Drosophila melanogaster: one gene and its partners. The protein of the gene in region 1 purifies or fractionates together with the protein of each later gene. This does not show direct contact. Each region holds a gene or a part of one and is shown in the gene's direction. Other genes may lie near its edges.

The links.
Region 2: the proteins of CG1603 (region 1) and CG10494 purify together in Drosophila melanogaster (affinity purification with mass spectrometry, with the first as the bait; one large-scale study listed by BioGRID). This does not show direct contact.
Region 3: the proteins of CG1603 (region 1) and CG1513 purify together in Drosophila melanogaster (affinity purification with mass spectrometry, with the first as the bait; one large-scale study listed by BioGRID). This does not show direct contact.
Region 4: the proteins of CG1603 (region 1) and Sk2 purify together in Drosophila melanogaster (affinity purification with mass spectrometry, with the first as the bait; one large-scale study listed by BioGRID). This does not show direct contact.

What each region holds. Positions count from the first base shown.
Region 1 is NT_033778.4:7,512,130-7,519,418, reverse strand, and holds CG1603 (uncharacterized protein), read left to right. Parts: upstream 1-3,028; 5' UTR 3,029-3,154; coding exon 3,155-3,451; intron 3,452-3,512; coding exon 3,513-3,776; intron 3,777-3,836; coding exon 3,837-4,199; intron 4,200-4,255; coding exon 4,256-5,092; 3' UTR 5,093-5,573; downstream 5,574-7,289. Other genes in the region: PIG-G (phosphatidylinositol glycan anchor biosynthesis class G), read right to left, coding at 1-45; CG1602 (uncharacterized protein), read left to right, coding at 559-984, 1,041-1,394, 1,452-2,405; az2, read left to right, coding at 6,724-7,149, 7,216-7,289. UniProt on the Drosophila melanogaster protein: Chromatin-binding protein involved in the organization of active promoters and insulators. Essential for the activity of heterochromatin promoters; primarily binds to specific motifs within promoters of housekeeping genes.
Region 2 is NT_033778.4:21,515,399-21,522,210, reverse strand, and holds CG10494 (uncharacterized protein), read left to right. Parts: upstream 1-3,085; 5' UTR 3,086-3,205; coding exon 3,206-3,281; exon of another isoform or gene 3,282-3,285; intron 3,286-3,340; coding exon 3,341-3,754; intron 3,755-3,813; coding exon 3,814-4,230; intron 4,231-4,289; coding exon 4,290-4,954; 3' UTR 4,955-5,056; downstream 5,057-6,812. Other genes in the region: CG30289 (uncharacterized protein), read left to right, coding at 378-594, 809-1,033, 1,092-1,600; CG30288 (uncharacterized protein), read left to right, coding at 1,842-2,067, 2,130-2,172, 2,230-2,396, 2,464-2,876; MESK2 (misexpression suppressor of KSR 2), read right to left, coding at 5,878-6,323.
Region 3 is NT_033778.4:9,886,759-9,894,388, reverse strand, and holds the start of CG1513 (uncharacterized protein), read left to right. Parts: upstream 1-2,699; 5' UTR 2,700-2,986; coding exon 2,987-3,154; intron 3,155-3,247; exon of another isoform or gene 3,248-3,309; coding exon of another isoform or gene 3,310-3,644; intron 3,645-3,702; coding exon of another isoform or gene 3,703-3,949; intron 3,950-4,008; coding exon of another isoform or gene 4,009-4,102; intron 4,103-4,228; coding exon of another isoform or gene 4,229-4,337; intron 4,338-4,393; coding exon of another isoform or gene 4,394-4,409; exon of another isoform or gene 4,410-4,511; intron 4,512-4,653; coding exon 4,654-4,782; intron 4,783-4,903; exon of another isoform or gene 4,904-5,264; coding exon 5,265-5,501; exon of another isoform or gene 5,502-5,574; coding exon 5,575-5,652; exon of another isoform or gene 5,653-5,667; coding exon of another isoform or gene 5,668-6,639; exon of another isoform or gene 6,640-6,741; intron 6,742-6,979; coding exon 6,980-7,223; intron 7,224-7,334; coding exon 7,335-7,458; intron 7,459-7,630. Other genes in the region: tea (telomere ends associated), read right to left, coding at 1-441, 509-547, 600-1,433, 1,487-1,801, 1,856-2,280; CG30008 (uncharacterized protein), read right to left, coding at 3,310-3,644, 3,703-3,949, 4,009-4,102, 4,229-4,337, 4,394-4,409; CG12923 (uncharacterized protein), read right to left, coding at 5,668-6,639.
Region 4 is NT_037436.4:3,042,408-3,050,659, forward strand, and holds Sk2 (sphingosine kinase 2), read left to right. Parts: upstream 1-4,679; 5' UTR 4,680-4,782; coding exon 4,783-5,759; intron 5,760-6,238; coding exon 6,239-7,247; 3' UTR 7,248-7,752; downstream 7,753-8,252. Other genes in the region: Prx4 (peroxiredoxin 4), read left to right, coding at 645-798, 865-982, 1,034-1,439, 1,498-1,548; scramb2 (scramblase 2), read right to left, coding at 2,439-2,462, 2,566-2,724, 3,316-3,809, 4,230-4,344; CG32485 (uncharacterized protein), read left to right, coding at 8,132-8,252.

The sequences.
Region 1 (7,289 bases):
GAGCATGCCGATGGTATAGACCAGCCAACTTTTGTGCTGTTCCATCTTCTTGTTTTCATCGAAAGTACCGCGCTCCACCGAAAACCACAACAAATTCAATATAATTGCCGCCCGTCAGCTGGAAGTCAAATATAAAGGCTAGACAATCGATAAGTGCTGTATGCTATCGATAGACGGCAAGCAAAACTTCAGGGGCGTAGGCACATAAAACTAATAAATGCTAAAGTCTTACGTATAATTTATATTTATTTTAAAACTATTGATACGAAAGAGTTAAGAGAGGAAATTTGTTAGCTTTATGGAAAAAAAGTATTAATATTTACATAATATTACTAACGTTTTGCCATTTCTCGAAGTGTATATTATTTTATACTTAATTTATCTTAATTTACATTTAAAATCTTACATATAAAAGAAATTTTTTAAATTTGATACTTATAAAACAAACGAATTTAATATCGTCTGTCGAACCCTTTTGCCCATTTGTGAATGCGCCCATGGTCTCTCATAGTCGGATATGTATAAACAAACGCTTTTGATTGTTATTTCTAACTTAAAATGGAAACTTGCGGCCTTATTTGTGTGAGCAGGGACTACGAGAAGTTCCTGATGCGCTGCTCCTACTGTCCAACGGACGTGGAGGTGGCCCAGTGGCAGGAGTTTGTGCTGCACATCCGCAACGTGCATAGCAAAGTAAGGAGCATGGAAGACGACTTCGAGCCAGTGGGGGAAAATTCTACGGAGTCTGGGCACGTAGATCCTCCAGAGGAGAAACCCCAAGCGGAAGAGTCGATATTCCAGCAAGACGAATCGGCGGACGGAGCCTGTGTACAGCTGCATATTGACGCAGTGCGTTCGTCGACAAACGAGACTGAGGAGTCGGACGTATCTTTGGTTACAGATGAAGAAGAATCCGTCCAGGACGAGGATCCAAGTGAACCAGCTCTTGATGATGCCAATTTAAAAACCACACCCACATACAAGGTACTTCTAGAAGCCATTCATGAACGCGCTAAACTAATCTCAGCATTCAACTTCAGTTTCATCCATCCTTCTTTCGCCGAGATCACCGAACCATAAAGTTCATAGAGATCTACAAGGAACACCCGTGCCTTTGGAATCCCGCTCACAGCGACTACAAGGAACCCAAGAAATGCAAAGAAGCCCTGAAGCGTATGGCCATTGACTTGGAGGCAACTGTATCCGTATTCCTGAACGAGATGGCCTTAAAGCTGGCCATCAAGAAAGTCCACATGCAGTTCAACACCGTGCACAAGCGGGTGGTGTCTGGAAAACAGAAACCTCAATCGCTGGCTTTCAGTATATACAAATTGTGTTGCTTCTTGAACGCTAGCAACGATGAAGAAGGGGCTACGAATAACGAAAAAATTAAGGCAAGATATTTGAATTAATTCAAATTGAAATTGTTAACAAGCATACTTTGCCCGCAGCTTGATTTCTCCAAGAAAAACAAGCTGACTACCGACCTGATAGAGATGTACGCAAACTTTCCGCAGCTATACGACTCCAACCACAAGGAGTTCTCCAATATGAGCTCTCGAAAACAGGCATACGAGAGCATGGCTGCGGAAATCTCAGTGCCCAATGTGGACATCAACAGCGATGACATATTCCGCGCCATCCAGAATCTCCGCCAATGGTACTACAAGAACACTAAGCATGCCATTTATGCCGGAAGTACAGCCGAGAAGTTCTACCTAGAGGTGTGTCGGTTCATGCCTGCAAAGATGTACAAGCAGCGGCTGGTCTGCGAATTTTGCCACCAGATTACGTCCTCGGATCATGTCCTGCAGTCGCACATCTTCAAGGCGCACAACATCGGCGAGCTGCCCTTCAAATGCACCTTGTGCGACCGAAGTTTTGTGGGACGTTGCGAGCTGGCTAATCACATACAGCGGGTCCATATCGGCAAGACCCACAAGTGCACCCATTGTGAGCGTTCATTCGCTGTGATGTCGGACCTGCAGCTGCACATCCGTACGCACACTGGCCACAAGCCTTACGTCTGCGAGCATTGCGGCAAGGCCTTCCGACTGCGGTCCCAAATGACGCTCCACGTCACGGCTATTCACACGAAGATCAGAGCCTTCAAGTGCACCATGTGTCCCAAAGACTTTGTGAAAAAGGTCGACTTATCGGATCACATCAAGGGCCATTTAAACATCCGCGACAAAATCTGCAGTGTGTGCGGTAAGGGATTCACCAGCTGCCATGCACTCATCCGACACCGGCAGATTCACTCCGAGGTGAAGAAGTTTGTGTGCAAACTCTGCGACTCCAGGTTCTCCCAGTTTGTGGGTCTTAATACGCACATGAAGCGCACCCACAACATTCTTCGTAATAATTCACAAAAGGGTAAAGATGCTGTGGATGCAGAGAACTGAATTTGATTAAATTTGCAATAAAATGACAGTTTATAAATAGGCAATCTTTTGCAAATGGGGGGAAATAAAAATACACAAATGAGAGTGAAACAATATGTTTAAACAAATTTATTTATATAACGGTTTAAGAATGTATATTAATAATTAAGAATATAAATTCTACATTATCTGGCCATGTCCATCTGTCGAAATCTGGGGATGTACATCTAAAAGCCTAAACACATTCCCCTGCCTACGCTGCGCTATTTTTTCCAAAATGTTGGCACGCCCACAAGGCGCCGACAACTGTAACGCCCATACATTTGAAAAACGTTTTGGTGTTTTCCTGTTCATATTTGTCTCGCTATTTTCTATCGATATGACAAAAAAAATATAATTTCTCAACAAATAAGCTTGATTGATTTTGATTTTTCCAAATGGTTAGTACTAGAATTTTATAACATTTTTTTTCGAAAATTGAAATGTACTAGTTACTTTAAAGATTCATTCATGAAATGCAGATTTTTAATCATTTTTAAGCACCACCAACAGTTGTTAAAACGTTTTCTTTTAAGCCTTCATAAAATTGTGTTTAAATATTATTTTAAAAATAGATTTTTATCGAATAGTCTATCGATACATAATTATTTCAGTCGTTGTCCAACACAGTCCCAAACGCATAAAAAAATTGTTACCTTAAATAAACGAATATATTTTCAGAAAAGGAACATTTTTCAAGCTGAAGTCAGATCAGAGCGCACAACGTAAGCATGGAGCTGTGCGGCAATGTGATGACCAACTCCAAGTACGAGATGTTCCGGCTGAAATGCCTCTACTGCAGCATAGAGAGCGAGCTGAAGGATTGGGAGCTGTTCATCGTCCATGTGAAATCGGCGCACTACTGCGAAGACGAGGACGTTAGGATTAATGAAATCAAAGAGGATACCGAGGAGCTATACAGCGTCGTTGACGCGGCGGACCCAGCCATCGCCTATGGGCCGGATGAGTTCTTCGAGGTGATCGAAAACAGCAATGGGGTCGATCAATGGATGGAAGCTGATAGCAAGGTAAGACTCTTTCACTCGCTTACCAAGGGTGGTCAAATAAGTGAGCTCTCGTTGACCGCAGGATATCCAGTACGAGGAAGACGCCACCGCTTGGTCTGCAGCTACAAACAATTCCTGGGAGTTCGGTCCAGGCGGCAGCTCTTTGGAACTTCCAGCCGGAAAGGAAGTCACACAAATGGACGAGTCTTCCCAAAATCACATACCCCTAAACACAGACGATGATGATGTTGATTGTAGTGACTTCTTTATGTCTGAGGATGACTTGGCACCTCCTAGAAAACCTGGACGTCCGCCCAGGCGAACAAGACCAGGACAGGTTTTCAAGGTTAGTACGTAGTATATTTCACTTAAGCTGAAATTCATTCCACTTAACGGCGTCATTCAGTTCAAAGTTTCGTTTATTCGGAGCAATCCCCGTGTGCTGCATTTGATCCAAGCGTACAAAGAGCATCCCTGCCTGTGGAACCCTTCCGATGAACACTACCAGGACGAGCCTGCACGAAGCATGGCCTACGAGGCGATAATGGAACGCATGGACCGCAAGGCCAATGTTCTCTTCACCGTGGAAGAACTGAAGAAAACGCTCGAGCAACTGCACGTGCAGTACACGCTGGCTTTGGAGACAAAACAAAGGGGAAAGCTTGTTGGACTTGCAGCGCGTTACTTTGCCAAGTGCGAGTTCCTCAGTGTGGCGCCTGTTGTAACGCCAAGGGAGAACGAGGAGGACAACGACTTGACTGCAATTAAGGTAATAACTAGCCCACTATAATGTAGCTCTTTTCTGACCAAAAATCCTTTTTTCAGCTTAATTTTAAGGAGGAAAACCTGATAACCACCTCATTCATAGAGACCTATGCCAACTATCCCGTGCTGTATAATCAAGCGTTGCCAGACTTTGGCTCAATAGAGATACGTGCAGATGCCTTCAAAAGAATGGCAAAGGAATTCCAGCCAGTGGTGAAGGCCAACGAAACGGACGTTTACATTGCGGTCAACAAGCTGCGCCGTTGGCTTTACGATGCCATTCGTCGCCTCAAATCCAAGGAACTAATTCAGAAGTGCAGCAAGCAAGAGGTTCAGTATCTGCAAATGTGCAGCTTCTTGCCCGCCAAGGGTTCCGAAAGTCAGGTGCTGTACTGTGACTACTGCGATAAACGTTTCCACGGCGACTACAACCTACGGGTGCACATCGTCAAGGCGCACGAGGTGGGCGACCTACCGTACCTCTGCTCGTTCTGCCCGAGGCGCTTCGACCGCCACGTAGACATGGACCGTCACAAGCTGCGTTCCCACTTCGAACGCAAGTTGAAGTGCCAGTACTGCGAAAAATCGTTCGCCGTGGATACCGACCTAAAGGTGCACACACTAATCCACACGGGCGAGCGGCCTCACGTCTGTGACATCTGCGGCAAGACATTCCGGCTCAAGCTACTCCTGGACCACCACGTCAACGGAGTTCACCTGAACATTAGACCCTACAGCTGCAATATGTGCACCAAAACCTTCCGCAAGAAGTTCGAGCTGGCCAACCATATCAAAGGACATCTGAATATCCGTGATAAGAAGTGCGAGTACTGTGATGCTACGTTCTATGACCATTCTTCGCTTTCCAGACATCGCCGCAGCCACAGATCGGAATGAACTCTCGCCTTGAGGGACATTTTTAGAAACTGCTTTATTTTTTGATAACGAGAATCAGTAAGCTTCATTTGATGTAAATCAAGAATAAACTTACGTTAGAGTAGTGATAATAACAAGCGTGTTGTTAAGCACTTACGGCTTTTGTGTATTTGATAAGAACATGTGTATGATAATCATATGCACAAGCTTTTCCTTTTTCATACTTTCCTTTTCAAAATTTGGTTTAAGGAATGTATTATTCATAAAAAAAAGAAGAAGCCGGAAAAATAAGTTCGTTTTAAGATAAATTTGTATAACCGTTACTTGTAGAGGAGATATTAGAATAACATATGATTTTTTGGTTCTGGCTCTAGATCTAGAGCTGGCTTGAGGCTCTCCCGAGTTTTTGTTCAAAAGTCAGAGAGCGGAGAGCTCTAGAGCTAGCAGCTCTATTATTATTATTTTTGATCAAATGACGTGTACAAAATTTTATATATATTCATTTTTAACAATGTATTTATATTTCTTTTATGAAATATATTTTTTTAAATGTATTTTCCTTTTTGCCAAATTTATATTTTTAATTACAATAGTTATAATAACGATTTAAGACTTTATTTAGTTTATTAGCTTAAATAATGATGAAAATAATTTTTATACGGTACAAGATACTGCTCATAGACCCTTGTTGAAGTATGTCGTCAGTGCAATTTTAAATATTTTTAATTATAAGCAAAAATAAATAAGCGGTATTTAATTAATAACAACTCTTCTTAAAAGAATAGTCAAGGCATTAAATTTTAAATAACTCTGTAGTAGATCGTATTGCAACAAGCTTTGACCAAAACTTTAAATATGTATGTATGTACCTTCGTTTCTGAGATCAAAATTGATTTCGAGACGAAAGTTTTCTAGCACAAGTATGCTCATATACACTTTCTCGTTTGTTGTTTTAACACACACAAGGAAGTACATTCTATTTTAAGAAATTTACGCTCTCCATTTTACGCGTGCGGAGTGAGATCAATTTTGGCCGTCACCAAAAAAGTAACTGCATAGTTGAAAACCAATGTAATGGCCGTTACGCACCTTAATATTCTAGTGTCTTTAAAAAAAGTGTATACTACAATATATTCGATGAAAGGTGTGTAACATGCAGAAGGAAACGTTTCCGACAATATTAAGTATATATATTCTCGATAAGGACCAATAGCCGAGTCGGTCTGTCCCTGTCCGTCTGTCCGTATGAACTACTTGTATTTCCACTGGCTAAGTAAGGAGTATTTGATTGTCGGGGAATTCGACTCTTGTTCCGAATGGGAATAAGTACCAGAATCAGTCAACTAAAAGTAGTGTTTTTATTCCAGCTTAAAATGAAATAGTTTAAAATATATTTAAAAATTTATAATTGATTTAAAAGTTGATTTAACACAACTAATACTCATGTTATAGCAAGATTTAAATTTAAGCTGTATAGTATATATAATTATTTGTCTACATATAAAATATTTTCTAAAATTGAGATGATTTCGTTTCAATGGAATTTCCGCGGGTATCTTCCCAACACTGACCATCCGGTGCTTATCGATACCGATAAATGGCGTTGTTGTTGTGCTATTTGGCATTGTATCTTATTTGTTTGTAAGCAAATCATGGTGGTTTGCGGGAACATTTTGGCCAGGAACAACTTCGAGCACTTTGTTCTGGCGTGTGCTCACCAAAATGACTGCTACGTGGAGATGGAGTTCAAGCGGTGGCGAGAGTTCATCGTGCACGTCAAGGAGCACCTGGAAGCAAATCCAAGCATGCAGCAAGAGCTCACTACTTCCGAAGTCATTTCGTCAGCCAAATGCGAGGAGGAGGTCTCGCCAGCCAAGGTGTTCATAGTGGAGGAGCCTCCGGAAAATTGCCTGGCTGAAGACATGTTCGTTGACGTGCCACCTTCATCAGAGAACGACGAGAGCACCAGCCCGGTGGAGGAGGAGGAGGAAGAAGACGACGAGGTGGACTCCTCCTCGATGACAGTTGACTGCGAATTGGGCACCAGAAACTCCACACACTTTGCTCCTTTAACCAAAGTAAGCAACTGACTACACCAGCAACAAAAACCAACAAATTAAAGCAGACGTTTTGCATCCCGGCAGTTCAATCCTACGTTTTACCGACGCAGTCCTCGGATCACACAGTTCATTGAACTGTATAAGCAGCAGACATGCCT
Region 2 (6,812 bases), about 14 Mb from region 1:
TTTTCTCCTTTAACATTTTTGACATTTCAGAAAAACTACAAATCTTATTGCAATTTTTGACGTTGGTAAAAATGACACTTACCCACTTGGTACACCATTTGTTGCGGAACGAATTAACACTCTATCGATATTGCCGATAATTTTTAACGATATCATAAAAAGTCAAACTTAGTATTTATTGTATGAACATATTTTAGTTTTTAACCTAACTCAAAAGCTAATTGCCCTTCCGGCCAGAGTTTTGTTAAATATATATATATTATTAATATATTCTATTATGTTAATTTAATTTTTTGTTAAAAAGCGAACAGCTTAAACTTTTTAGCACCAAACGGAAAATAGTTGATATGCTATCACCGATCAGTCTTCGCGCAACCATGGAAGTGATCAATGCGGTAATCGCGGCACTCGTATGCCTATTTATTGCCAACAATAACGTAATGTCGCGCCTGCTGGTTGAGAATTGTGGAATATCAAAGGACGATCCATACGTTCCGAACATTTTTGGAGGAGCCAAAACAAATATTCAAGAAAATCCTTGGATGGTGTTGGTTTGGTCGAGTAAGCCCTGCGGCGGCTCTCTTATTGCACGGCGTATGTATTTGACTAAAACATTGGTTATTCTTTATTTACTCTATACTAATATATTAATATATTTATATTTATTTAGATTTATAATATAGTTCATAGTCCACGATATATATATCTTAACTTACATGTACCCAAAAACTGAAAAGCATATGAATAAATAATCGAGATAGTCGACTATTTTATTATTTTTTTATTATTTATTTATTTTTCTTTTAAGAATTCGTCCTGACAGCAGCGCACTGCGTATCCTTTGAAGATCTGTATGTGCGCTTGGGTGATTACGAAACACTAGATCCCATGCCATACTGCCTTAACAATCACTGTATACCAAAGTTCTACAACATTAGTGTGGATATGAAAATTGTTCACGAAAATTATAATGGCATCACTCTCCAGAATGATATAGCATTGCTTCGTATGTCCGAAGCTGTGGAGTACTCAGGTAAATAGAGGGGTTTTATCTCACGTGGATGACTAAAGCTTTATGTTTTTCGTTATAGATTATGTTAGGCCAATTTGCCTTCTTGTCGGCGAGCAAATGCAAAGCATTCCAATGTTTACGGTTACCGGCTGGGGTGAAACAGAATATGGTCAATTCAGTCGGATCCTACTGAATGCCACTCTATATAACATGGATATATCATACTGTAACATTAAGTTCAACAAACAGGCTGATCGATCGCAGATATGTGCTGGCAGTCATACCAGTAACACCTGTAAGGGCGATTCTGGAGGCCCATTGAGCTCGAAATTTCATTATGGCAACAGGCTTCTGAGTTTCCAGTACGGCTTGGTCAGCTACGGATCCGAAAGGTGCGCGGCTAATGTGGCAGGTGTTTACACCAATGTATCGTACCACAGGGAATGGATATTTAATAAAATGGTTCAATTCAAACCTACAGGTCATACTACCTTTTGGTTATCCAAGCTCGTAGGCCAAACTTGTAACATAACAGACATAATAAGGAATATAGAACTAATGTATAACAGAATTGTATATGAAAATTAATTAATATTCGACAAAATGGCAGGGCAACGCATCGAAGTTCGAAATATATTAAAGTTCAAGAGATTTAATTAAAAAAAAAAAATCTTGTCATTAATTGAAAATAAACGATGTCACATTCAAATCGATTGTAAAAATTGTATTAGTATTTTTTCTGAATAAATCACTTCTTATCTCTGCCGTTTGCCGAAGAACAAGCATAAAAATAGAAACCGATGCCATTCGAATTTAGTCTCTGAACAAGATGCGTCTACCTATACGGCAGCTTGTGATAGTAGCCTGTCTTTTTATTGGGATTATCCGGACGGAATCCGGACGCTTACTGGAAAACGACTGTGGAACCACGAGCAGTAATGGTTATAGAGCGCGAATCGATGGAGGTAGAGATGCTGGCATGGAATCGAATCCCTGGATGGTCAGAGTAATGATTTCGGGAAAAGCAGTGTGTGGCGGTTCACTTATAACTGCTCGTAAGTATTTGGAATTGATAATAAGAAATATATACTCAAATTATCATTGTATGTTCATTTAGGATTTGTTTTGACCGCCGAGCATTGCATTTCCCCAATGTATATGTGAGTGCATACCATACTATTACTACACATTTGATCCTCAAAATGACCTTTTTTAAGGAATGTGCGCCTGGGCGAATACGATACCCGACATCCCATATTCGACTGCGATGATTTTGTCTGCACACCAAGGGCCTACAATGTGGACGTGGATAGGAAAATTGTTCATAGTAATCCAGGATATGATATTGGTCTGTTGCGAATGCAAAGGAGTGTGATATTCTCAAGTAAGTGCATTTCGCTATCAAAAGTTTCTTGGGAACTAAATATGTAACTAACTAAAGTTCGCCATAGACTATGTCAGACCAATCTGCTTGATTCTGGGCAAAACGTTGGGTGGGAACCCACTCTCAATATTACGCTTCAATTTCACCGGATGGGGTACAAATAGTGATGGAGAAGAGCAAGATAGGCTACAGACTGCCACCCTGCAACAATTACCTCAATGGAGTTGTGAAAGACCTGGAAGACCTCTCGATATATCCTATATATGTGCCGGCAGTTATATCAGTGATTCGTGCAAAGGCGATTCGGGAGGTCCTTTGAGCGCAATTCGTACATTTGAGGGGCAGGGAAGGGTCTTCCAGTTCGGTGTCGCTAGCCAAGGACTTCGGTTGTGCAGTGGCTTGGGAATTTACACCAATGTCACACACTTTACGGACTGGATATTGGATGTTATTCAAAACCATTCAGACGACTTTGAATGAGATCAAAATATGTTGCTTAATAACAATATAATGTTTTAGCGTATATATTTTGGCTATCAATATCATAGTTTCTTGTTGGTTTTGGTTTTTTTTTTCAGATTGTAGGCTATTTCTACATTTAACATACATATTCCTTACATGAAACATACATTCGAGCAGAATGTATGGTACGGCCGCATCGATGCCGATAACGATAGGTAGCTTAACGCGTCCTACTATCGATGACAGTTTTGTTATTGTTATGATTTGATCAAGCTAAAAAAAAACCGATCAAATATAAATATATATTTATTGATTTCATTGCGCGATTTAAGCATAACCATTTGAAAATGAGCAAGTTCTCGCTCTTCAATGGCAACGATGAGGACGAGCACGAAACGGAGCAGAAATACGCACACCTTATGAGTGGGTAAGCAGCGTCCTCAGCCGGTTCGATGTTACCAAATCCTTACTTTTCGTAACAGATCTGGGAAATGCGAGTCACTCGGTGTCGGAAAATAGTTCTGGGAAAGCGAGTCGCTGCAAGTGGACCAGCGCAAAGGTGGAGACCTTTCTGGAAATCATTCACCAACTTAAACTGCAAGCTGCTCTTCGAAGGCCGCGAAGCAATGCAAAGGTGTTTCGTATGGTGTCCAGAGAAATGGCCCGGCGGAACTGCCCCAAGAGTCCAAAGCATCTGAGAGTCAAGTTCCATCAGATGCGGCGTCAGTATGCGAGAGCTCGGAATGGCGGCGAACCATTCGAGCACTTTGAGGCGGTGCACGAGTTGATGCAGGGAGAAGATGTATCTGATCTGGATGAAGAGGCGCTAGAGAGTGACAGCGATATGGAGGCCGACGAGGACCAGTCCGGCATGATCTCAGAAACCGAAGGGGACGGTAGGTGCCACCGGGCAGGAATGTATTGGAATACGAACTTAGGCGACTTTCCTTCGCAGATGCTTTGGATGCCTCAGGATCTTCAGTTAACATCGTCGCCCGCTGCAAGTGGGCAGAGGGCGAAGTGGACCTCCTCCTAGACCTGATCCACACACTTGGACTGCGAGCAGCTTTGCTGCAAAAGCGCAATGCCAAGGTCTTCAAGCTGCTGTCCAAGGAGATGGCAAAACGCAACTGCCACAAGGGTGCTGAGAAGCTGCGCATCAAGTTCCAGCAGCTGCGGCGATTGTACAACAAGGTCAAGAACGGCACGGGGAAAACGTTCGAGCATTTTGAGGCGATGCGACTGGTCCTGGATCCCACCGAAGAGGAGGCGGCCGCAGATGCTGAAGCGGAAGCCCATCTGAGCAGCGCAAGCGATAGTGATTTCAATGACAGTGACGAGGAAGAGGGTGATGCATCACAGAGAAGCGGAGGTAGATATTATAATAGCTAGTTCCTATTCCATATTTAATTAAATTCCTATGTTCCTTAGCGCACTTTTGGACAGACGAAGAGGTTGATTCGTTTCTACTCATCATTCGGGACAATGGTTTCTTTCGCGCCTTGGATGGCTCAAGGAAGCGCAACTTCCAGACCCTGGTGCACATTTCCAACATCCTGGCTAAGCAGGACATCAAACGCACGCCACACCAGCTGCGCAATAAACTAAGGCTGCTCTGCAAGCGTCATCGAGAGGCCAAGGAGCACGGGCTAGATAATGTACGCATTCTGCCTCGCCACTTTGAGCTTTTCGATGAACTGATTCAGGCGCCGCGGGAGAACAGAGAAAGTGCCATCAGCAGGCTCATTCGCATCAGCAAGCCTTCCTTTCTCAAGCCGCCAGGCAAACCAAGCGTTCCGCTGGAAAGTGACAGCGACAACTCCAGCTCCACCTGCGATCTCCTAAGAGCGGCAGCCGATAGCGAGGACTACGTGGACGCCATCGAGATGGAGGCTGAACCAACGCCGATTGAAGCACTCACTGCAATCATAGAAGGTCAAAAGCAGCTGCTTGCGCAGATCAAAACTACCAACGAAAGCTTCTTGCGGCAGCAACGCGAGCAGCAGCATCAATTTTTGGAACAAGTATCGGAACTGATGCATCGAGATCGAGAGGAGACCCTGCGCAGGATCAGCGAAATGCTGCAACCGAAGTAATGGAAACATAGAACTCAAGCTTCTAAAACTTTTATTGAATTGAATTCGAAGTTATTGCAAAAAGTTGTCATTATTTATATATATTATATGTATGTATTCTATATTCAATATCGTGTGTGTGTGTGTATCCTGTTTTTGTGACAGTGTCCTGTGTCTAGAATTTATTCCTCATTCATTGTGAACAGAATGTTGGTTTGAAGTTACTCGCAATTCGCAATTGTCTACGATTTATCTAGGGTTTTGTATAAGTATATACGTAATTTTGAGAGATTTTTCGTTTTTTATTTGATATGCTACATTGTTATTTTTTGGGATTAAGTTAACAGTTGGATTCGTTTTAGGTTTTAACATTAAGCGAAAATGCTCGTTAGTTTTTAGTTTTTGTTCTGCTTGTGTCATCTGTATACACATATGTATATATTTTGTATATTGTTCGGTTTACAACAACTAAGCAAGCTCGTCATAAAATATGTGTTGCACTCCAAAAAAAAAAACAATGTAATCAATTGGGCATAGAAAACTAAACTGCTGTTGCTGATCTGAACCGATCTGGCTTGATATATATACGTGTATGTTCGTTACGTTACGCTCAGGCACAAAGTGTAAATTACAAATATCTCTCCGCATCTCGAAAACCATAGGGAAACACAATCAATCAATCAACCAATCAATCAATCAATCAATCAATGGGTTCTCATTTGGTGGTTAATTATTGCATTCGCATTCATTTCCTAGCGGTGTGTGAGTTGCTTGTATTTCATAATATTTTTTATTCTTTGAGTTTCTGTGGCTTTGTGTCTCTTGGAGCACGGCTGAAAGCTTGGCTTGACTTGGCTGCTGCTGCTGCATTATTTTTTCTCAGTGTGTGGTAACAACAATAACAAGGTGTCTTTTGGAGATTATGTGGACTCTGCAGTAACAATCTAAGAGCTGACCGGCTCGGGCAGTGGGTTCTCTGTGATGCGTATCTTGTTGCTCTGGGTGCCGTAGTAAAGCGTGCCCGATGTGTCCGTGGTCACGTAGGCTCGGTTGCCATTACCGGTTCCTGTTCCGTTGCCGCCGGCACATCCGTTTCCGTTCTCCAGATCCTGGTCGTCCCCGTCGACGCTGCGACCATCCGCATTATTATTGTCCCCCTGGCCGGCGGTGGTGTTGGAGTTGCTGCTGGTGCAATTGATGGCCGTCTCCCGAAGGCGATTGCCAACGCGAAGGCTCAGCTGCCGCTGGCGATCCCGCTCCCTTTCCCGCTCACGATCGCGCTCCTCCATCGCCTGCTGCTGCTGCTCCCGGAAGTTGGCAAAGAAGATGGAGGAGTAGGTGTGGTATTTAGTTCCACAGGGCGAACTCGCTGGCGTGGACAGCGGCGTTGCTGTTGCAGTTTTATAAGTGGAGTTGTTGTTGTTTTGGGGGGAAGGTAGTAGTAGTTTGGCTTTTGTTATTTACGTTATGTCACTTGATAACATGTAAGTTGTTGGTTCTTGTTCTTGATGGGTGTTTTTCTTTATACACTTTCTAAAAGGCTTGCCTGCTGTTTTTGAAATGTATGTACGTGTGGTGATGTCTGTACGTTTGCAAAAGGCTGCGATTAAAATAAATAAAATTCTTAGATTTGCTTGACTCTCTTAACTCTTAAAATTCGAATGGAAGTTAAGGCTTTATGTCCATTGTAAAGATAACTATGTAGTATTCAATAATCTCATCATTGATTATGGTTACAATTTACATCGTTTAATTCAGTCTTTATATTGTTTAATAAGGCTAAGTTCACTTGAAACTATCTTTAGTTAGCTGAAGCTATAAAAACAGCTTACAACACATGAATCTAAATAATTTACCTCTATCCTTATTTTAATCGCAG
Region 3 (7,630 bases), 2.4 Mb from region 1:
TCATCGAGATTGCTCACATGACGTTTGAACATCTCTAAAGAAATGGGATTTGGTGGACAATTTTCTGTTGTTGTTTTAGGAGTGAAAGGTACCTGGGACTTGGATTCGTTTACTGCTTTTGCATTATCTGTTCGATTCATTGTAAAAAGAGCCTTTTCATCAAGTGGCTTAGCTTTTTGTTTTAGCTTAGCCAGCATCTTAGGATTGGGGCAATTGAATTTGTACTTGAATCTTTGACGAACATCATTGCGTGCATAAAATTTATTGTAAAACTGGCGGAAAAATTTTTTGCATTGTGGGTGCGAAGGATCAGAAATTAATTTTGACAGTTGATGTTCGTCTTTAATGTGATTATTTACTAGAATTGCTCGGATAATCTCGTCATAGTTAATATATTGCCGAAAAGTTTCAAGTGATACGGGAAAAATAAAGCGCCCATGTCTAAAAAATTTTTTTTGAAAATTGTTACTTAAAAATTTAAAAAAATGGTAATTTATATTTTTCTTACTTTTTAAGGTCCACTTCAACATCCGTCACAAAGGAAGTCCTAAAATTGTGGTTTTAAAATTATGAAAACAATTCAGGTTACGCTAACTTACTCATATACATCGGTAGAATCTGTGATCTCTTCAGGTTTGGCTGGGGTCTCGTCCGAAGCTCTGGTTTTTGAAGCAGGACTCTCTGGTGTCTTGGACATGGGCACTTCGAAACCTGACGGAGGAATCTCTAACTGGGGCGCTCTATCTGATTGTTCTTCGGCAACCTCCTTGCTCTGATGGGGTTTAACTTGGGGACTTAAGACTTCAGATGACTTCTCAGGGGCTTTCGAACTGTGCAGATGGCGTTCTGGCGAAGCTAATGCCGGCATACATCTGCTTAGTTTGTTGGCATCGTTCCTGAGATTAGCTTGGTTTTCGAAAGTTTCTAAAGTATTATGTGAACTCGATAGCCCTTCAGTCGTGCTAATAGCTCCCGCAGCACAATTCTCTGGCGAAAGAGTAGCTAACTGGGACAGACCTTCACTCGGTTCGTGGGCAACCTCCATGCTGGGACTGGTTTGGATTTGTGAAGAGCCACTGGTATTCTGCGACCCTAATGACCCTTTGCTCTCAGTAATATATGAAGTGTTGGGCCTGCGCGAATCAAGTCCTGGCGAGGGATTAGCTAACTGAGGGAGGCTTTTCCTAAGCTTTTCGGCAATATCTTTGCCGAGAATGGACAGCATGCAGGCCTTGAAAGTCGACGTGCAAGGTTTTAATTTGTATGCGTATTTATATCGGATCCTCGGAGTAATGTAAAACGCCAGGTAATAGTCAAGGGCACATTCCTGGACATCCTTGCTCGCATAATTAGCATCCAGTTGCCTCATTTGCTCCACAATGTCCGATAAGTTTGCCATATTTTTCTTAAATACCTCGAAGCTGACGATGGAACTGTGAAATATTTATAGTAAACAACGAGTATTTGGAAAGTGTCCCAAACTTACTTTTTCGTAAGGGATTTCATTGCAGTAAGCTCCGCCACAGTCTTGACCGCTTTTTTGTCCAGTGGTTTCCCAGATTCAAGCAACTTTTCCAAAGGGATTTCTGTAGTTGCATTGAAGATATTCGTAGGGGATCGCTTTTCTGGATACATGTAAAAGCGGTTGTAGAACCTTTGTAGTGTAAGAAGACGACGCTCATCGTCGGACAAGAGGACCAGGCAGTGTTCTATGCTCCTGACAATTTTTTTGAACAGTAACATCTTATTGATGCACTGTAGGAATACATCAAAGGATACCGGAAAGATGAAGGCGCCACATCTGAAATGAGTCAAAATTGGTTAATCTGCTCTGCTCGAAAATAATATTACCCACCTCTCCACATTAACAATTACGTCTGGAGATTCCGATCCTGATGGTTTACATTCAACTGCAACGCCTTCAACTGCATCATGGGACTTCGCGGTTTCAGCGAGCGTCGTCAACTGGCTGCCTTCAACTAAGACTTCGGGTTGCTCTACTTGAGATGGTCCTGCAGCTGCTACGTTTGCAACATCGTTTTGTGAAATTCCTCCTGGCTCCGGTACTTTAAGCAAGTTGTCGCGTGTCCGCCTGGGACACGGCGCCACCTTGACAGGGAACCTTGCCCGTATGCTGGGATTCCGGTAGAACTCTTTGTAGTACCATCTGCTCCACTCGACCAACGTTCTATTGTCTCCATTGGCAGTTTTCAACTCACTTGCAATTTCAGACAAATTAACGATTAACTTTTGAAATGCCGCAAAGGACACTGGATACATGTTGCTCCTGAAATCAAACAATATTTAATGTTAAGATGTAAAAGATTCACAGTAACCTTACGACTTGTTCTATGCAAGTAACGTTATTTGTTGTTTATCATAAACATCACATTTCAATACCGCGAAATAAACTAGGCTGAATATCACAGTGTGACTGTGCTGCAAAATGACAATATTTATCGATAGCGAACGACTAAATATTTTCACTACGAGAACTCGAACTTACTTAAAATTTTACAAGCCAGTTAATACTTTTGTGCTTTATTGTTTATTGTTTATTTATTTATTGTGCTGATTTAAACAGGGTTATAATTTCATAGCTAGCTAATTTTACATGTTATGATTTTCCAAATGACTCCAAATTTGTAAGGTGTGCTAGGTATAGTAGGTGGTATATTCCAGCGGTCGCCGCACGGTCACACTCGAGCTGCGATTCGGAGGGCTAGAAAATCATCGATGTTTACGTACATCGATAGTTGGCAGGGCTTTGCTTTGTTTTGCAAATTCCAAGCGGAGTTGAGGCTGTGACAGATTGCGGGTGCGAGTTGTGAAGCAACATTGCGTCATCATCAGCTCCTGGACAGAAAAGAGCTCAGGGAACGAGGCAGGTCCGCGCCCGGGGACAAGGAAAGCCTTTAGCCACGAGGACGCAGAGGGATCAAAGGCGGAGGAGGAGGCGGTGGCCGTGTCACGGGAGCTGGATCAAATGGCCAGCACCACTGGAAGTGCCCCCAGCCTGGGACCCCCCCAGAGCGGGAGTGGTGGCTCTGGCACATTGGAGGGCACGCTAAGCAAGTGGACGAATGTGATGAAGGGCTGGCAGTACCGCTTCTTCGTTCTGGACGAGAATGCTGGACTGCTGTCCTATTACACGGTGAGTGGCTGCAGTGCACCTCCTGACTGAAACCCATATCGCACCCAGAACGAACTCCTCATGGCCCGCAGCCTTATCTTATCTGCTATAGATACATTTGGATACACATACACACTTGTTGGTACCCCTTTATTGCGTGATTTGTTGACAGGAGATTACTTTTTTGAGTCTGACTGAGGGGTCTGACTCTTGCGCCGCTGCGAGGCTTGATAGGCACTATTATAGAAGTCGTAAAAGCCGTAGAACATGCCAAGAATGACGGTGGTGAAGTAGAGAAGCACTAAGGGCGGCATGCCGCACAATACCAGCTGGAAAGCAACCTGCGTGAGGATAAGAACGAACTGCGTCATCTGAATCACTGTGATGCACTTCTTCACTGGAGTTAGGGCCTGCACCAAGGTCTTATCCGCCACTGCCGCCACAAAGTAGTACGAGTACATGATAACGTGAACGATAGAATTCAAGAACACGCAGAAGTAAGCAGCAGAACCTGTACAATTGAACGCATTTATGAAAATAGTCGGTCACCCAGCAGCCGGCTAGCTTACCATTTTCGTTGAAGTTGATCAGTGCGTAGACCAGCGTTACCGTGGAGAAGTGATGAAAGATGTGCAGCTTGGACACCTGGTTTTGTTTCTTGCGAAGCACAAAGATCACGGTTTCAATCAGCTCAGAGATCTTCAGCCAGAAGAGAAAGTAGGCCAAGTTGTAGTACCGCCTCACGAGCTCTGGGCTGCTCCCGATGTCGCGGCACTTCCAAAAGATGTATATGGTGTTGTCCGTAATGTACAGGACCTGCGAGAGAAAAGCAATTAGCCGATGCTGCTGCTGCTGTACAATTTATAAATATCCACCTCTTTGATAGCATATATGCAGGAAACCACCTGGATGAAATTATGTAGCAAGATAAGTCGCTTGAGCTCGTAAGGTTTGCGCCATTCCATGAAACTATAAGCGAGGTATTAAAGGTCTTCTTTCTTATATAAGTAAGCCAGCGAACCCGCTGAATTGCTAATGTCAAGTCCACTGACCCACATGCAAACAAGCGACGCTGACATTAGCATGTGAACTTACTGCGGACCCGCTTTGGTGACGAAGTACAGATAGAGGACCAGCACTGTGATCATGTACCAGGGATCCTTATAAATCGTAGGAACGTTCACCACCGGCTGCAAATTTATACCTACAATTTTATTGAAACCATCAGACAGTTTTTTGACAAATCCAAGAGGAGCTCACTTGCTGACGCCTCCATTTCGCTTCTTTGTGTTGAGCTTCCGCTGGCCTGTATCCTTTAGGTGGCGTGGGACTGGTGGACTGCAGCTCTACCGCCTTGACCGCTGGCGAACATTTAAGCGTGAACAGCACGCCGAACACTGTTTTTATATTCCCCAAGCATTGATTAGAATACATTAATTTATAGCAGGCGTAATAGCCCTTTGACAGTATGAGCTGCGATTTAATGAACTTTCCTAATTCCGACTGCATTTCTGTTACAGTCGAAGGATAAGATGATAAAGGGCGTGAGGCGCGGTTGTGTTCGTTTAAAGGATGCGCTAATCGGAATCGACGACCAGGAGGACAACACATTCACAATCACTGTGGACCATAAGACCTTCCACTTTCAGGTAAGTGTCTCCTTAGTAAATGGAAATAAAGATTGTCTAAGGAAAGCTTGATCAATGTTTTGCAGTTTCACTAATAGTTCATAATTCACCGTAATAGTTTAAGTACGACGTTGTTTGTTTTATGAACTGAAGAACCAACTCATTTTAAATTCCACACTTGCATTGATTTTTTATGACGTCTAGTGGTATACGTAAGCAAAAACTATGTAGATCAAGAGGGCAGCACGTTTCTTTTTGCAATTCGCGTTTTCGTCCCAAAAGATATAAAGCAAGCATGATGGCCTATCCGCTTTGCTTGCCAAGAGTTTTCGTCCTCTTACCGGAAAAGGGTATCCGGGCATCGACCCAGAAACCACTGTCTGGTCCTCACGTTCCACCTTTTGTTTGACTTTGTTGCCTTGATGTAACGATAAAACTTTTTCCAATACCCATACACAAGCAAAGGAGCCCACTAAACTTGCCAACTTTCCAAACGCTTGCAGGCGCGACACAACGAGGAGCGGGAGCAGTGGGTGCGCCGCCTGGAGGACACCATTCGACGCCACGCGAACCGGTCGCGTCTGTGGGACAGCCAAAGCGCTTTCTACATCGCCGGTGGCTACACGAAGGAAGGGGGCGGGAGCGGAACAGGCGGCAGAAGACCCAACCACCTGGAGTTGGTGGCGCGCCGTGTTTCCGAGGCAGATGCCTACCTCCAGCTGATGATTGAGCAAACGAACGTGAGTATTGTGCCACGTAATGCAGGCATTATGCAATTTATTGTCATTTTTTCTTGTTCTCTGTCCTGCCCAGTTACTGGACAAACGCATCGCGGAGCTGACCGATCCGGCGGAGCAGTCTAAGTGCAAGGCACTCCAGGACAACGCAAATGTAAGTAAGCAGAGGTTACACGTTTCCCTCGGACTCAGTAACTACAACCTCCAGGTGGAGTTCGTCACGAAAGTTGTTTGAGAGTTTCTCCACTTCGGCGTACGTCAGACGCCAGTAACTTTCGTCGACTGCCATGTAATAGTCCGCGTCCCGGTTATTATTAACCTTTCGAACACCTAAAACACAGCTGGTTCTTAGTGCAACATCTCTTCCATAGAGACTGAGCGTAACGTTCAACTGCAGTCCGTCGCTGGGTGTAACCAGCCAGAGGACGAACTCACTGTTTCTGTGGCTATCTGGTGAACGCCTATTCCGCAGAGCCGTATTGGGCAATGTCTGGGAAATTAGCACCACCAACGGGATGTGACTATCCAGGTGCGAGTGTTGGTTCAGCGGGAAGCTGTTATAGGGCTCACATTGCCGCTGGGATATCAATAACTGTTGTGCATTGTAAGCCAGGAGTCCCAACACCTGATTATCAGGATTCTTACAGCTCGTCGGCTTAAAAGAAAGCACAGCCCGTTCATGTTTCACTACGGGAAGAAAGCGCTGAAAGGAAGCTTCCTTGTTCTCATGATCACATAGGTAGTGCAGCAAAAGCAACTGGCTGTCTATTCGCCTTTGGCAGCCCTCAAAGAGACATTTTTTTACCTCGGACTTTATCAAGAGCTTGTTGGGTATGGTATCTTCGTCCTTCAAAGGGACTTGTCCTTCATCTGGAGGAGCAGCCTCAATGGTACCGAACATCGACTGAGACATTAGCTTTCCCTGATGCAGCTGAACCTTCTGCTGGTCATCCAGCTGTTGCATTCCAATGCGAAGTGTTTCCATATTTTCGTTGAGCTCCTTGATATCCGCTTTCAAATTGAACATGGTGTTCACCTTGTTCTTCAGCTCCAAGTGCGCTTCCTCACGCTTCTTTTTATACTCTTCGAATTGGTCGCACAACTTGTCGGCGCTGTGGATCTTTGGGTCCAGAAACTCCATTGCGGATTAGCTCTAATTGTAGCCTTTAAACCTTAAATGTAATTCGATTTCCTTGAAATGCTGGGAATTTAGAGAATTCGGATACGGGATTGTGTGTTTTTGTTTTCCCAGTGAAGTTTTTGGTTGGAATCGTATATCCAGGCCCACTGGGCCACCCACTCATATCGATTTCCAATGCAAGTTCAGGGTTAAGAGGCGGCCAGATGCAAAAGCCTGAGAGAATGTCAATCGACCGGCAGCTGTCCACCCATGGCAGCTGCTCACTTCGTCTGCAAACTTTGGCAAAGCCAAACCACTTTTTTCACCACTCCCGTTGGCTAATACGTAGTTCTCATTTCAGGCCATGCTGGATCACATTAAGCACTCGATTGTCAGCCTGCAGATTGCCAAAAACATGGCCCACCCAATAAATGGAATCTACAACGGTCCACCGGCCACGGCCTCCACTAGTTCCTCAACCAGTGGAGTTGCCATGGGCAGTTGTAACAACGTCCAGGCAGGTGGCCTTAAGGTGCCGCTAGAAGGTCAAGTAATAGGCAAGGGTGAGCTGGTGGACGACGAGGAAGACTCGGCCACTGAGAACGGTGAGTGCTCTTGGCCAAGCAACTGGTCATCGAGCCAGGGTCAAGCGGTTCGAAATCAATGCGAAAGCTCAATTTGCATTACCCCCGATAATCTGGCATTAATCTTGGCAGCCACCACCGCTCCTTTGGGTTTAATTGTGCCAGCGACCTCATACTCGAGCAGCGAGGGCGAGGAGGACTTCTACGATGCCTACGACGATCCCTTCACCAGCATTGGCAGCTCCCCGATTGGCTGGTAAGTAGACCACTTGTGCAGGTCTTACAAGTAGCAACTAAGACATGCCCTTGACCAAGTGCGCCGACTGGCCATCAATCAGATGCGATGCGGCAGCCGGCAAGCGTGCTATGTTATGTGTGATGTGTGCTGCGTGCTAATATTACGCATTCATTGCCCACAGTCCGGAACC
Region 4 (8,252 bases), on another chromosome or scaffold:
ATTTGTTATTAAAACAAAAAGAGTTAATTATAGCGCTTAAAAGGTAACAGCTGTGCGTTTGCATTGTTGCTTAATGCAAGCAAGTTAACTACCCTGCAACTAAAAATAAATATTCAAATCGGAGCTAGGCAATCGCATTGGCATTGGAATTTTAGTAGTTTTGTAAACTATATTTGTTTAAATCGGTTACACGCTGACAACTATAAATTATAATAGCAGTGAAGTGAATGAAATTGATAAGCTTATCTTTTCGGAAGCGCAGCAACAATAAGCGCGTTCCACCAAAATCAATTGAAGTTCTGCCCGTTGAAATAGTTACTTTTTTGACTGCGTGGCTACAAGTTGTGGGCGTGTTCGAATTTTGGGTATGTGCGTACAGTAGAGACTGGCTGACACGGACGGAACAAGGATTTAGTACATAGAAGGAGTATCTTTTCTTTGAAGTTTAGTTTTGTTCCTAATTAACATTCAAAATTATATATCTTTACATAATTTACAAAATTAAAGATAGTTGGGCGACCACTGTACACAGATTTATTATAAATATAAAGAGCGGCAATAATTGTAAAGGCCGCGTGTAATAAATAGCGTATAAACCGAATCCAATAGCCATATACGTACGTGGATCTCGTTTCAGCCCAATCATGTCCAAGTACTTATCTGTCCTACTGCTGTCCGCGGCACTCGTTGGAGCTGCCAAGCCGGAAGATAATGAATCGTGCTATTCCTTCGCCGGCGGCTCCGTTTATCCCGACCAGCCGAAGGGCGACCATCAGCTGCAGTACACCAAGGCAGTCAGTGAGTTCCATTGGATGCAAAAAACCAGGGATCACTATTAAGTTGCTGCTACCCTTATTTCCCCAGTTTCCAAGCCAGCTCCGCAGTTCGAGGGCACCGCCGTGGTTAATAAGGAGATTGTGAAGCTATCATTGTCCCAGTATCTAGGGAAATATGTGGTGCTACTCTTCTACCCACTGGACTTGTAAGTTTACATTTACATTTAGTATGATCGCATTTCTCATTGCCATTTTAGCACCTTTGTATGCCCAACGGAGATCATTGCCTTCTCCGACCGCATCGCCGAGTTCAAGAAGATCAAGACCGAGGTGATTGGCGTCAGCGTGGACTCGCACTTCACCCACTTGGCCTGGATAAACACGCCGCGCAAGGAGGGCGGCCTGGGCGACGTGAAGATCCCACTGCTCTCCGATCTAACGCATAAGATCAGCAAGGACTACGGAGTCTACTTGGAGTCCAGCGGTCATGCGCTGCGCGGTCTCTTCATTATCGATCAGACCGGAGTGCTGCGACAGATCACCATGAATGATTTGCCCGTGGGACGCTCTGTGGACGAGACTATTCGTCTGGTTCAGGCCTTCCAGTATACGGACACCCATGGAGAGGTTTGCCCAGCAGGTTGGCGGCCAGGTGCCGATACGGTAGGTTTTTTGAAGCATTGCCTTAGGTAAATTCTTTTTGATACCATTACCTTTACAGATCGTTCCCAATCCTGAGGAGAAGACGAAGTACTTTGCCAAGAACAACTAGGGACAGATAGAGATGCACATTACCTTAGTAGCCTAGCCCAGTTACATTCCTAATGTTCACGACTGAATCACGATGCAAACGAACAATCGCTAGAGTCCTCTGTACAGAAAATCCAAATCCGCAATGCCACCGATTGTGAATATTTCGCATTTGCTTTGTACAAAACATAGTTTGTTTATTTTACAGCATAACTGAGATATAAATAAATTCATGAAGTACATGTGAAGGTGATGAAAATTGCGCGGCGCCACAGGAGCGGTACCAAAAAGGAGGAGATGTTTTCGATCTCAAAATGCCTTGAAAGCTGGCTCACTAGGCCACTCTAATGGGTAACAATTCGATTGCAATTAGTTTCATACAAAAATATATGTAATATGTAATATGTAGTAGGTAAAAGGTAATAGTAAATTAGTTAGGTACGCCATGGTTGCAATTAAGTTATCCTGTGCTCCGACCTATGCGTACAACAAAGCTAGGTCTGTCGAGGTATATAAATCTGGGGAAACGGGACGGGGGCGACGACAATAACTAGGACGTCATAAGGCACTCGTTCTCGTCGGATTCTTCGTGTGTAGTCTGCTTTCTGTTTTCCGTTTTGTGCGTTTGTCAGTAAGTGCTTCATTGTGGTGAGCTTTAAATGCCAAAACCGAGGTTCATAAAATAACGAAGGTGCAACTGCGGTTCAGATCCAAGTTGTGCGGGAGATTCCTTTGCTGCGGAGATTCCGTATCGATCAAAGCGTTGCACTGTTCAGATTCCCGGAAACGTTAATCAAATAAGGGGTTAAAAAGTTCTTAGAGCTATGACCATGCAACACGTCGAACCAAAAAGCAGTCGGCGATTATAATGTTTGGGCGTTTGTTCCTTTAGAATGCGATTCATCATACAGCCTACTGCTCGTAGTAAACCGCGTCCTGGAATTAAGACAAACACAAATCAATGAAGGGAAACGAGTATATAGCACTGGCATATGCTTTATTTCACTCAGTGATATATATGATATACTGATATACTCACAATCAAAAAGAGCGCTGCGAATATGAGCGCCTTCATGCGGACATCCAGATTCAGGGGGAAGGTGACGCTGAAGTAGTCCGCATCGGTGAACAGCTCCCTTCCCAGTCCGGACCATTGTTTGCTGATTTTGCCGATCTCCTCGTTGTTGGCGCTCAATACCTGTGCGCGGTTAAAGGGGCGAGAGATGTTTGCGTTTCGCATTAATCGGTTCGCAGTTCGCGGCATCGCAATTAATTGACTCGCTCTGGACAGTCAGGCATGGCTAACCATGACGTCACTGCCTCGGACTGCAGTCTCTTTGCTTCTGTACGATCACAGCAGCGGTCAGTAAAAGGGCTCATAGATCGGCACAAACACTTGGTGCATTTTAGCCATAAAAAGTATAAATTGATTGATTGATTTTCCTATATCTAGAGGCATCTGTTAAATAACGTATACAATTGAAAATTTAAAACTAGTGTGGGTGCTATTAATTTGAACGCTTCTGTCTGTTCATAATTATTTAGAATATATGTATATAGGCACTTATAAATGTTTAATAATTAAAAAAGCAATTAAGTGGACGCCTGATACTGTTCATTTTGGAATTTTATAAAGCTTCGTCTTTGACTGATGAAGACCATACATATGTACTCCTCCGAAGAATTTAAAGCTAATCCGCTGACCGCTGCTGTGTGTGTATACACTTGTTTGGGCATTGGGAATCGAGATCGAGAGCCAAGAATAACCACTTGTTGGCTGCGTACTGACCTTGAAGTTGGTATCGCTGAAGCACTTGCAGGGACAGACGGGTCCCTCGATCTGCAGGACGGTATCGCCGCATGTGTTCTTGATGTTGAACTTGGGCCGCATGAAGGTGCAGACCTGCTCAACGCTACCGATCACCTGGCCGGGTGGCGCCGACACCTCCACGGCGTTCATGCAGCTGGGAAAGCAGCAGAGGATGTCGCACTTGAAGGGCCGGTACAGGTGGAGCACCTCGTTCTGAAAATTGTCCAGTATCTTCATCTCGAAGGGGCGCGACCGGCCGAGCATGTTGCGGGTGCAGCAGTCGCTCTCCTCGTACGCGAAGTACACATTCTGGCCCAGTGAGTTCTTCACCTTGAAGCGGTTCTTCGTCTCGAAGCCGGTGAGCAGCTCCAGTTTCTCGATCTTCTGCGACACGAGCAACTGGTCCAGAGCGGTCAGGTATTCCAGTCCCTGCGGGCAGTTGGGCATGCCCACGGGTATCGACATCCAGTTTTCTGCAATGGGGCGTTGTTCCGGATTAGCTCCCTATGTATTTATATTTATCTATATGCATAAAGTGCTTTTCCGATATCTATGCATGGGTAAAGGAAATTAGCATAGCTACAATGGCGGTCAGGCGATTAGGGCCAGTGATAGCAGTTCTTAACATAAACTAATATTTTAAACAATATGTATTTACGTATTGACTTGGAATCACTTCACTTTTTGGTACATTATAAAATATCTTTTTTACATAGATAACTATGGGTGCTATTGCCATGCCCGCTGCTGTACTAAATGCCAAGAAAGAGACGACGGCATTTCCGCCTTTCGCACACGCCCACTAGCCCACACAGACGCGCGCAACCGACTAGGTCCATCCGAGTGATGGAATTCAACAGTGGACAAATCCATATATGTCCATCGCTACGCACCAGGTCCGTTGGCATTGTTGCCAACATTCGCCGCCTGCGGCTGCAGGACCACTGCGCCATTCTCGTCCTGCGGTGCATTCTGCGGGAGCACCTTGTACTCGCTCATCTGCATCATTGTTATTCCCAGCAATTAAATTCGTATCGGATTCTTTAACAGTTCACAAAACACTAAATGCAGGGTGACCGCGTTGCGAACGCCGAAAAATGCAACGCAAATGCACCGTACGAAATATTCTGTCATATATTTTGGTATTTATTCGAACACAGAAAAATATCAACAAAAAGCTTTCAGCACTCAATGCAGTGACAAGTTAAATTTGTTATGAGCTGACGTTTTTGTGGATTCATTTGTATTATTGCATTGTATTGCAATAGTTTCCTTAAGCTAGCCTCTTTAAGTTCTAAGAATTTTGAGTTTATTTGTGCCAGTTGGTATATTCGCGCCTGCCACCGACGGTAACACTGCGGCTATGATTGGATGATAAGCGATCCATAAAAGCCTGGACACAAAAGACCTGAAACATGCTGCTTGGCAGCCGAATCTCCAGTCGAAATGAGCGAATCTCTTGATAAGACCACCAGCCCGAGCTCGGCCAGTTCCAGGGCCACGCCCCCGGGAACGCAGGATGCGGATGAGGGCCACGACGTGAGCGATACCTTCTACACGAGCCAGCGCAAGAAGGGCAGCCACGTATTTCGGGTGCGCCTTGACGCCACAGGATTCACCCTGCAGCGGGAGTCGCCGGGCGGTAGCATTGTTAAGGAGCAACATGTCCGCATATCGGACATTGTGGGTGCCCGCTGCATGCGGCCCAAGAAGAGCCGGCGCCTGGCGATGTCGGGCGCCTGTGCGTGCAGCTCCGGTAATCCCAATTCGCCAGCCATCTCGGCGTCCGGCGATCACCATCGCCCTGCCACCACACCAAGCAAATGCAGCACCAATAGTCGGGATAATATTCCTTCGGATGGCGGCGATGTCAGCGCGTTTCTCTACGTTTTTGCCTATGTTCTGAAGAAGAGGAGCCTGCGGTCGGAGTTGCACCGGGAGCGAACGGTGCTCACTCTGCGCTTCCGGTCGTTCGACACCTTCGAGGACAACATGAGGGAGGCGGATCGTTGGTACAGATCCCTTCGCTGGCAGTTGCATCGCACGCTGGAGGAGATCTTTGTGGCGCCGACGGTGGATGAGCGACGCCGTCGAGTGCTTGTGCTGTTGAATCCCAAATCCGGTTCCGGTGACGCTCGTGAGGTCTTCAACATGCACGTGACGCCGGTGCTCAACGAGGCCGAGGTGCCCTACGACCTGTATGTAACCAAGCATTCCAACTTTGCCATCGAGTTCTTGAGCACCAGGTGCCTGGACGCCTGGTGCTGCGTGGTGGCTGTCGGCGGAGACGGTCTCTTCCACGAGATAGTCAATGGACTGCTGCAGCGCCAGGACTGGGCCCACGTCCTGCCTCATCTGGCACTGGGAATCATTCCTTGCGGCTCCGGAAATGGATTGGCCCGCTCCATTGCCCATTGTTACAAGTATGTTATCTTTGTTTCATGTTTCATTAGGAAAAACCCCCTTTTGACTTATGTGGATCTTCATATTTCGTGTAAAACAATCCCTCCAGCGTCTAGCCATGCAGTTTATCATTAGATTACATTCATAAGCAAAAGTAGTTTTCTTATCGTGTCAAATGGTTTTGTTGTTTTGCAAGTGGGGATATCCCCTTAAAGTTAAATTGACGTCAGACTAGAACAAACTTTCCACATCGTTAAGTAATTGCCCCCCAATTTCGTTCAACATTTAGTGGCATATCATCGAACTTTGAAATCTTTATGTTCTTTCTTTATGTTCATCTATAGCTCAACTTCCCGATAAAAGAGTATAAAAAGGGTAATAGAAAAGAATGTTTATAGACTTTAAAACCACATTCAGGTGTCTCATATCCGATCTATTGGTCGTAATCCGATTATCAGTCTTGTGTTGAAACCTATTCACTTGAAACCTTTCTCCCCAGCGAACCATACTTCAGCAAGCCAGTGCTAGGAGCTGCTCTGACCGTAATCAGTGGACGCAGTTCACCCATGGACGTGGTCCGGGTGCAGCTGCAGAGTCGCTCCCTCTACTCCTTCCTGTCCATCGGCTGGGGTCTGATCTCGGACGTGGACATCGAGAGCGAGCGCATTCGCATGTTGGGCTACCAGCGCTTCACCGTGTGGACCCTCTACCGTCTGGTGAATCTGCGCACCTACAACGGCCGAATCAGCTATCTTCTGACGGACCATGAGGTGTCCTCAACCCATAGCGCTACCGGTTATGCTGCCCAGCGGAGAATGCAGAGCAGCCGTAGCTGCAACACGCACATCGACATGCTAAATGGGCCGGCGCCCATCTATCATTCCAGTGCCGAGTACCTGCCACAGGAGTTTGCGGACGTGATCTCCCTGGAGACGTCCATCAATCAGTCGTTCCGCTCGAGGTGCGACAGCTGGTTGTCGGGGGGATCGCGGCGCAGCTTTTACTATTCCATATCGGAGAGCATCTACCACAGTCTGGCGGATGAGAGCGAGTTCGCCGGCCTGGCGGCCGCCTCGCTGGAAAACCGGCAGCAGAACTACGGTCCGGCAAGCGAGCTGCCGGATCTGAACGAACCGCTGTCCGAGGATCAGGGTTGGCTGGTGGAGGAGGGCGAGTTCGTCATGATGCACGCCGTTTACCAGACCCATCTGGGCATCGACTGTCATTTTGCGCCCAAGGCCCAGCTGAACGACGGCACCATCTACCTGATCCTCATACGCGCCGGCATCAGCCGCCCGCACCTGCTGAGCTTCCTCTACAACATGAGCTCCGGCACTCACCTGCCGGAGTCGCACGACGACCATGTGAAGGTGCTGCCAGTGCGAGCATTCCGCCTGGAGCCCTACGACAATCACGGCATCATCACGGTCGACGGCGAGCGCGTCGAGTTCGGGCCCCTCCAAGCTGAGGTCCTGCCGGGCATAGCCCGCGTCATGGTGCCCAAGTAGGAGGAGCTTACTGAAGACCATCAAGCAATAGAAATCTCAATTTTGGAATCTCTGCATTTGTAGCTAATACTTAGGGTCCCAGGTGGCCGATATGAGAGAGTTGTGCATTCTACATATTTCGTGTTTTTGTGGCCTGCTTCTGCCAACCAATCATGTATTGTTAACATTTTAAACACAATAACAGCTATTTCCGAAATATCTAACATGTTTGTTTATAAAACGTGTGCCATATGAAGTGCACGTGAATTTATTTTTATCTCGGCTGTTCAAAATAGCGATGAAAGTCTTATTTATTTTGTTCTTTTTTTTTTTAAACTGTGTAACGAAATGAGATATATATTCAAAATGTTTAAAGATGAATACAAATAAATCTTCATGAATTCAAAAATCTTAGAAAGTAACAGTGTAAGTAACAGAGCTAAATCATTTACAATTCCATATTTTAAAGTAGGAAGTTAAGAATATAACATCTTTGAGCTTGAAATAAAAAATAAAAATGTTAACTAATTTCAGCTCTGTTTCAATTTGTTTTCTTCTCTTTACTATATAGTTTAAAATATTTTTCAAAATTTATTATCAATTAAAGCTTTTATTAAAATGTAACGGTTCCAACCAATAACGGTAATTTTTCGGTATTTCGTGCTTGCATTTAGTATTGTTGTGGAACGCAAATGACAGCTTTTAGAGAGTTTCAGCCGGTCACACTGGTCGAAAAAAAAGAAAAAAACAAATCCGTTCCGTTTGTGAAAAAACATTTCCGAGTAAAAATAAACAGCGCTGCTTGCATTTCACATAGTGTCAGCACATTCCGATTCCAGTCCGCGACTCTCCAGCACGGAATCCCAGTCTGCATTCCGGTCAGGAAGCGATTCGTGCTCTACAATATGTCGTCCGAGGAGCTGGCGCCAATTAACGAGCAGGACTTCAAGGATCTCAAGGAGCGCATGAAATTGATTGTGGAGGCGGATCCAAAGCAGTATCACAATGACTTTTCGCTGCGTCGCT